Linked DNA regions of Drosophila melanogaster. The protein of the gene in region 1 interacts with the protein of each later gene in a pairwise test. Each region holds a gene or a part of one and is shown in the gene's direction. Other genes may lie near its edges. The genes, in order: ntc and SkpF.

What was found.
Region 2: the proteins of ntc (region 1) and SkpF interact in a two-hybrid assay, tested with the Drosophila melanogaster proteins (one large-scale study listed by BioGRID).

Annotation. Positions count from the first base shown.
Region 1 is NT_037436.4:3,803,079-3,808,081, reverse strand, and holds ntc (nutcracker), read left to right. Parts: upstream 1-1,622; 5' UTR 1,623-2,122; coding exon 2,123-2,261; intron 2,262-3,317; coding exon 3,318-4,123; 3' UTR 4,124-4,250; downstream 4,251-5,003. Other genes in the region: IntS10 (integrator 10), read right to left, coding at 1-1,017, 1,071-1,270. UniProt on the Drosophila melanogaster protein: Functions together with PI31 to control non-apoptotic caspase activation during sperm individualization. Positively regulates PI31 stability.
Region 2 is NT_033778.4:23,457,555-23,461,031, reverse strand, and holds SkpF (SKP1-related F), read left to right. Parts: upstream 1-2,272; 5' UTR 2,273-2,345; coding exon 2,346-2,861; 3' UTR 2,862-2,967; downstream 2,968-3,477. Other genes in the region: CG43795 (uncharacterized protein), read right to left, coding at 3,167-3,477.

The DNA of each region.
Region 1 (5,003 bases):
CTCAAGATCTGCAGGCTTTGCACCAGACTGCTCTGGGTGGTCATGTCCGCCATAAGCTTGTTGGCCTCATCCCGGTGTCCGAAATATATGGCCAAGTCGAAGAGGAATCTTGAGATCCAAGGCGCCAAGGGAAGAGCCAGCATAAGTTGACTGAAATCCCTTTGGAACTGATCCGTATTGAGCAGCTGCCAGCACTGGGCGGCGTGTAGGAAGGCCTTGGATAACTCTGGACTTATGGCCGTGGTCAGGGAGAATTTCGGTGGCTCCATGCTGGGCACTTCGGAGCCATCACCTTCCGGCGACCATTCCATGAATCCTTCTACCAAAACATGAGTTACATCGGCATCCTCGATCCTCAGCTTACAATTTCGTATATAACCATGAAGGGAGTAAATGAACAAGGTGGTGGCGTAGAACAAAACCTGGGAGCTGCCCGCAGGACTGCCGGAAAGTATGTCCACCAGCTTTTCCCAGTAGACGTTCTGGTTGACATGCTTGCTGAAGGGCAGGAAGGGCTCCCAGCCCATCATCTGACCGCAGATCATCAGCACTTTAAAGATGTTCTTCCAGGCATCTGCTGTATCCGATTCATCCATTATTTGCCGCAAATAAAACTCCAAGGAACTGGTATAAAGTCTGCAGGCCAGATTTGGCGAAAGTTCCGGGGGCTTATTCTGGATCATGGGCAATACCTCCTCCACCAGAATCCGCTGATAGAGATCCGGTTCGGTTTTCATGCCCTCCGCCAGCATTTCCAGTAGCCTGGGAGCCTGAGTTATGGCTGATTTGGGAAACTTGTTGAACATCAGTATGTAGATATAGATGCGCTCCAGATTATCGGCACTGTGGTTGATGGTGTGCATGAATATGTTGTGCTGTACTTCCGGAGTTAGGTGCTTGTACATTTTTACATAGAACTCGTGTTCCGGCGTAGTTTCATTCTCATTTCTGAGGGCATTTGTTAGGGAGTTGATCTCCTGCCACAGCTCCGTATGTTGATTCTGGAAATTGGTGGCTCTGGAACAGTAAAAGATAAAGTAACTGGAATAGATGTGCTATTGTATACTCACATAGCACTGAAACACTTTGCTGCCTCCTCATAATTCTGAGCATCGCGTTCCAGTAGATAAGCCTCGTATTGCAGGTTGAATGCATTGGGATATAAAGTTTTAGCTGTGATAATCCAGGCCATGGCCGCGCAAGGATCGCTTTTCCGGAGTCTTTGCGCCTCCTTGACCATGTACAACTCATTTTCCTCTTGGCTCGGCATGTTTCTTCGGGTATATCTTTTGTTTTTATTAATTTTCTCCTAGTTTCAACAAAAACAAACCATTTAGCCGGCTATTAGGAATTTATTTACTAGCACTGGCCATATTTTTCTATTAGGGATGGGAACTATTGGATCTAGAAACTAGCTAGAGATTTCAATTATTTTCAAAACGCTTGTTTAGCATAGTGCGCTTGTTTTAGTTACATTAGGGCTGGCGTTATTGAGTCATTTCAACCTAAAACGCTTTTTATATCAATATATGTTCGGTGAATTCGAAGATATTTAATTTTCAGCTTGAATATAGCTAGCTTAACAAGCGACTCTCTCCTCATCTGCAATCGATAACAGCAGCGGCAGTAGTGTTGCATAGTAGCTGCCAGCCAGCTGATTATTCGCTAAATAACCAATTGTTTTTTCGCGAATTTTTCAATTTTCTGTGATTTTTGCGGCTACAAAATCGAAAACTATATTAAGCAAAATACATACGAACCTGGCAATTGCGACTGCTTATGTAATATCTGTGACAAACCAAGTTTTCTAGAAAATACCTGCCGATGCGTCGTTGCGCTTTGTTTTTGTTGCGTGAATAAGAATCGTTGGATATTTGTACATTCGCAATTTGTTGTAAATATGTTTAAATCTTAAGTGCCACAGCTTATCAACGAAGTAATATAATTGCGATTCCCTCCTTTTGTTAATCAGTCCCACTATATAGCACTAAATATAAAAATTGAGTGCACAAATCGCAGTATGCCCCATTTTCTGATTGTCATTCCGAAAACAAACAATGACAGTCGCATTGAAAGTTTAAATCAAATCGTTTCCCAGAAAATTCGTACGTAAATATCTGAAATGTCAGACACTAAATCCGAAATTGAGGGCTTTATAGCCATTCCCACGACATCGGGCGAACAACAACAACAACAGCCGCAACAGCAGCAAAATGAGCAACAAGTGGTCGGCACAAAGGACATTAAAGCTCCTGATCAGGGTAAGTTGTGTAATATTTATAGAAACTTACTAACTTACTTAAGAGCGCTCTATGTAATTGATAAATGGCCTGCAAATAACAATCGTTCATTAGTATCTTATCATATTCTATATCGTAAAATAATCTTAAAAAATACGATTATTGTATATATTAATATTTAGTTGAGAGTATCACTGATATCTAGAAGTTATTCATAATCTATAATAGAAATCATTATTTAATACATATCACTTAACAATAGATACTCATAAATCATGATAAACAAGACAACGTACACTAATTCATGCATTATGCTAATAACAATCTGCTCATTCTATAGATATTTTTTTAACAAATTTATTTGTACCTGTTTCTATTGTTAGTTTATAGAGCAATGTGTTTTTCATCCACGAATTATGCATATCTATTTACTCATACCTTGAATCACTTAACTTGAATGAAGTTCCTTAGACTTTCATTCCAAGATCGGCGACTCTCTTCGATGAATCATCAAGTTAACCCCTTCGAATAAAAGTAACATAAATTCCGAAAAACCTGTTTGATTATTTTGTAAATTGCTTCAAAAATGTGACGTTATATTTATTGTAATAATAGCCGTTTTAATTGTTCAGTTCCAACTTGTTTAACCTAGTGTCTTATCAAATATATTATGTAAACACAAAATAATTCTAAGTTTGATTAATTTTACAATTTATTTTAAAGCAAATTGAGTAGTGAATTAAATATTTATGTCGTGTTAGACATAATTTTATTTACAATTTCTTTCGTGATTTGTTTTTGAATGCAAGTGTTAATTTACTTAATTTATTTAAAGTTCTACATCAGTCTTAAAGTCTTAACGGGAGTTTTGAGTTTACTTCTGTGTTCTATATTTTGTAGTGTCAAAATGTATTGTATATAACTACCGGTTTGAGTTGTTGCTTCCGAAATCCGCACATAGCAGGTTTGTTTCTGCAATTTTCAATCTTCTCCTAACCAACCAACAGCACAGACAATTTCACTAATCATATCCTCGAGATTCTGTTTAAATATAAATACAAATAAAACTCGTTGCAGTGGGGAAAAAGCAGCGACCACGTTTGATACAAGAGAAGAGCACCCAGGAGACAAATCCGTTGATCCTGGAGCATGCTACTCTGGAATGGGTGCCGCAGCATATGGATAAGCTACTGAATCAGTATCAGGAATGTCGCAAAATGCCGGCTGCCGAGTGGCTTCATTTGTTGACTTACCTGGTGGCCCTGGAATGCGGATTTGTGGAGGAGGAGACATTTGCCCAGAAGAGACACCTCATTCAACCCGTACCATCATTTAGCAGCTTTCACGCCCAGAATGTGCGAATCCTGAGCGAACAACCAGCTAGATATGAAGTGTGCTTCAATGACACCGTCTATATAATGCGACTGAGAACACTATTGGACAAGCATGCTCCCGAGGAGACTTCTCTGGTGGCTGCCCTTCAGTGCCGGCTGATGGCCGTCAGCCTGGGGGATCAGCTTATGATCACCCTGTCCCCAGCACCTCCGTCGAAGGAGCCTGGCTACAGCGTCAGCCTGTCTATCGGACGCTATGTACTGAATATTCAGGCGAAGAACAAGCCCATCTACCATCGCTTTCGGAAGCTGGATGAACTCTCATATCAGCTGAAACAGCACTTGTTCCAGCCCATGCGATCGCAGCAACTAATGCAGATGGAGATGAAGCTACAGCCCTCGCTATTGGGCCTCCCGGACGAATTGTACTTCGAGATCTTCAGATATCTGGACAAAAGCCAGCTAAATGTGGTGGCCAGGGTCAATAGACATCTTCATTTCTACAGCAAGGAAGTGGAGCGAAAAAGGCTAAAGGGCGGCAGAAGCTAAGCTCTTGTTTTAATCGAAGCCGGTTTAAGCGATTTTATAAATATTATTATATTAATAAATTATTAAGTGGTGCATAAAGATTCTCGGGAATCATTGTATGTCAATAAATATATTTGCTTATTCAAGTAAATGCCTTGTTAAGAGCTGAAATACAACACGTCTCTTTATATTCTCTGAAATGTTTTAAATATTAAGACGGATTTTTACAATAAACTATCCTCAAAGATAAAGGGAATATTCCTTGCTTTATTTGGTGGAAGGCATGGATTTTTTCAATTGAAAAGGTAAATTCGAGAAAGTGATTCAATTAATTAAGCACTTCAGTTTTCAGATAGATTTTAAGTAACAGGGGAAGGTGTTTTAAATTACTGAAGCTTCTTATGTTTTGTTTTTTTACATATGTTTTAGTAAGAGTAAGAGTAAGAGTAATACCATATATTTGTGTTTAAATTATCCTTTAAATTGTGTCCTTATTGCATGCATTTATACGACCCGCTCCATCAGCAAGGACAATTGTGGATCCTCCGACGCCCTCGGCTGAGTCCTGCAACTCCTTCGATATCTTTGAGCCACCTGCCACGCCCCTGGATTCCATTAGCCTCAAGAGCAGTGCCAGTAGTTACCTCTACGATCGTGATATTACAGGTGAGTTGCGTCCACGTGTCCGCGCCACCTGTTCGTCGGCATTTCACCCCCCCCCCCTCCGCCCTTTATGACCGAAAAGAGGGGTACACGCCCCTAAACGAGTCGGCCCTCAACCACAGAAGTGCAGAATGCGAAACAAGCTGCTCCAGCAGCCAAAAACACGCGCCGAGATTGTCGCATCCACAATTCCCAGTGCCCCCAAAAAACCCCAAGCCCCCATTCGCCATTCCATCTT
Region 2 (3,477 bases), on another chromosome or scaffold:
AAAACAATTGAAGCTCGTAATTTCAACTTGAATTGATATTGTTTTTCCTGACTGCCATTTAGCCCGCCCCCTGGGCTCACCTTCTGCTCCTGCCGCCCGTTGTTTTCCTTAAATGTTATCCTTGTTTTTGTTTGCGCAACAAAGTAAACGGGAAATGCCCAAACCAAAAAGCGAGCGGCAACACGGAACAGGATCCCTTGCTGGCAGGGCGATAACAATGTATCACAAAACAATAACTTCAATTAGTATCTATCTGTGTAGCGCTTTCCCTGTGATTTCCCTTTGCTTTCCTCCTTCGAGTTTCCCTTTTTCCGCTGAAGGAAAAGTTTCCGGCCATCCTTGATTATGTTAACACAAGGAAAACTGATTAATACGGGTCCTGATTAGCCGCCATCCCTCCTGCAATTATGAACCAGTATCTGGGCAATCCATTGGATTTATGGATGTCGAGCTGGATAAATCAAGGAAGTGGAGTTCAGTCCCAGAGGCCACATTCCCCGCTGAACAAATAATGAAAACAAATGCCTGGCATATGACACTAAATGCAATAATGTTGATCCCGTGCCAGATCCGTGGCCGTTTGCAATTTAATTTATTGACAGTGAGTCTTTGACATTTTATTGCTCCCCAGGCCAAGTTACGACATTGTCCGCATTTCCCATTTTTCTCTCCTTTTCCCGCCTTTCCTCGCTATCGACCGACCTTTCCCCTCTGTCACTTAATTTGTCGAGCTGCTAGTCGTTTGGGTTAATTGTTTATTTGTGCGTTTTATTGACAAGCGGCAATCGTTCCTTGGATTCATCAGCTTGTAGTCCTGTCGTCCTTTCTGTGCGGCTTTTAACAAATGAGTTTTTCGTTAACAAATGGCTTTGATTTCCTGGCTCAATCAGCGCACAAAAAGTTGTCATCTAAGCTGGAAAATTATGTCATCGGAATTTGGTGACCATCGACGGTTGGACGATATCCAATGGCCTGTTGCACGAAGCCAGCCACACACCCACGTTGCCCTCGTTTTGGCTCAGAAAAAGTTTGCTTTTTTGCTGATTTCTCTATTGCTATTTGCCACAAAGACACTCAAGAAAAACAGAAGGACATAAATTCCAGGTCTAATGTCTGCACGGAGCACATCCCCATCGGCATTGACACATACGATGCGTGCATGCAGGCAAGGACATTCGTACACTTGGACTTTGGACTTTGGACATTGGAACACACAGGACTTTGGAGTCCGTAACTTTGGTGCTCGGACTTCATACCCAGATATGCGAAATCTGAAGAAACTTTGTGTTTATTGTGCCTGGCTGCTGAACAGAGAGAGAGAGAGCTGCCGAAGAAAAGAAGAGCTCAGAAAACATGGGAGCTGGGCTGGCATGTCCTTGGGATTGTCACTGGGGCGGTTATCCTGATACACGATACACTGCCAAATCGATGATGGAAGCGGAATGGACACGAGTAAACAATGAGCACACACATCAGATTGGTCAGCTTGCTCCGTTTGGCCAGCCTGGACAGCTGGAAATTCCAAGAAAAACCAAATGAATTGCCATCGCTTTGGTTGTCCAGGTAAATCAATGTCCTCCGCCAGCTGGCCTTCCGTTTTGGCCACAAGAATGGTGCAAACTTTTTGCTCGGCACGCCTGCCACGCTAAGTAATTGAACTTTTATCAAAAAATTGCACGCAGCCAGGCGGACGGAAAAATCGAAGGAAAATCGCAGGGAAAGCGATGGTAGTTCTGCCAACTATGGCCAACAAGCGACGAGAGCCACCGCAACAAGAAAAGCACATTATGCTCCTTGTTGACAAAGGACACGGGCCAATCTAGATGAGCAGAAAATGGCGAGTATCTGCTGCAAAGTGAACCCCGAGCAATGAGCGATGGTGAATTGAAAAGGGAAAATGGAGGCCAAATCCCTGGTTTTGTTTTTATTTCCGTATTCGAAATGGGCCCTAAATATTTCATATTTTTCTGTTATAACAAACAGCAATAAATTGTGCTGCAATTGAAATGTCCATTGTGTAGAACATGGTAAATACCATTGTAAGCGGCAATCAACTATTACTTATACAACAATAAATATGTTATGAAACTAAAATTGTGTATTTCTGCCAATATCTAATCGATTTTGCTCGTTATATTGAAATAAAAATGTTGTCTAAATTGTTAATAAATGCTATCTCCATTCCATGGACATTTGTTTGAATTTGATGAATCACCAATTTGTTTCCATTACGAATCTGTTCTGTTTAATTTTTAACTGTCAAGTTGGCACTGACAGATTTTCTTGAAAAGTTGAACTGTACCAGATAACCTTAAAGGAAAACCCTTTGTGGGCGAAAACGGACCATGCCAGTCATCAAATTGCAGTCCTCCGATGGCGAAATTTTCGAGACCGACATCGAGACTGCCAAGTGCTCGAGCACCATTAAGACCCTATTGGAGGATTGTCCAGTGGAAGCGGAGAACGACACTCTTATCCCGCTGCCCAATGTGAACTCGACGATCCTGAAGAAGGTCCTCATTTGGGCCAAGCATCATCGCGAGGACATTGCAGAGGAGAACGAAGAGGAAGCGGCCAAGTCCGTCGCTGTGCAGATCACCCCCTGGGACGCCGAGTTCCTGTCCATGGATCAGGGCACGCTCTTCGAACTCATCTTGGCGGCCAACTACCTGGACATTCCCAATCTGCTGAACGCCGCCTGCATGACGGTGGCCAACATGATTAAAGGCCGCACGACGGAGGAGATTCGCCAGACCTTTCACATAACCAACGATTTCTCGCCCTCCGAGGAGGATTTGATGACGATGGAGTCGGAAGTCCCGCAGGAGGACGAGGCGATAGAGTACGGCGAAATTATATAAATTCGAAGTGAACATTTTCGAAGGATTGATGCCTGTTCCGGATTAGAATGTAACTCGACATCCTTACCTATGCTCACAAAATATCACATAAATATCCTTCATATGTATCTTGACCCTCGAATGACCTTCAGGGAAAGCACACTACTTTCTTGACCGCAATTGTTCAGTACGGATTCCATTTCCATTTCCATTTTCACTTGCATTCGCCAACCGTCTGGCCGAAAACTTTCGATTGGAAAAGTTTGGCATGTGAATATGATGTGGGCTGAGTAACTCGGAAAACTTTGTCCGTGACATCCACTCACCTGGTCAGCATATTGGCGCGATTGACGGCCACCTCGGCCTCCACCCGGAACCTGTCCTGAGCATACCGGTCGACCACGCCCTCGCCCAGATTGAGCGAAGTACCAGCCACGCAGTTGGAGCCCATCAGATGCTGCTGCTCGATATACTGCAGGAACTTGGACACCAGATCGATCTTGCTGTCCCGCGCGTTAATCACGTCGGCGGTAAACTGGTTGGACTCCATGTTGTCGCCGGAATCCTCCTCCACATCGCCAATGACCAGCTGCTTGGTCTTGTCATCGACTTGCGCATCCGGCGGATAGCCGTCGTC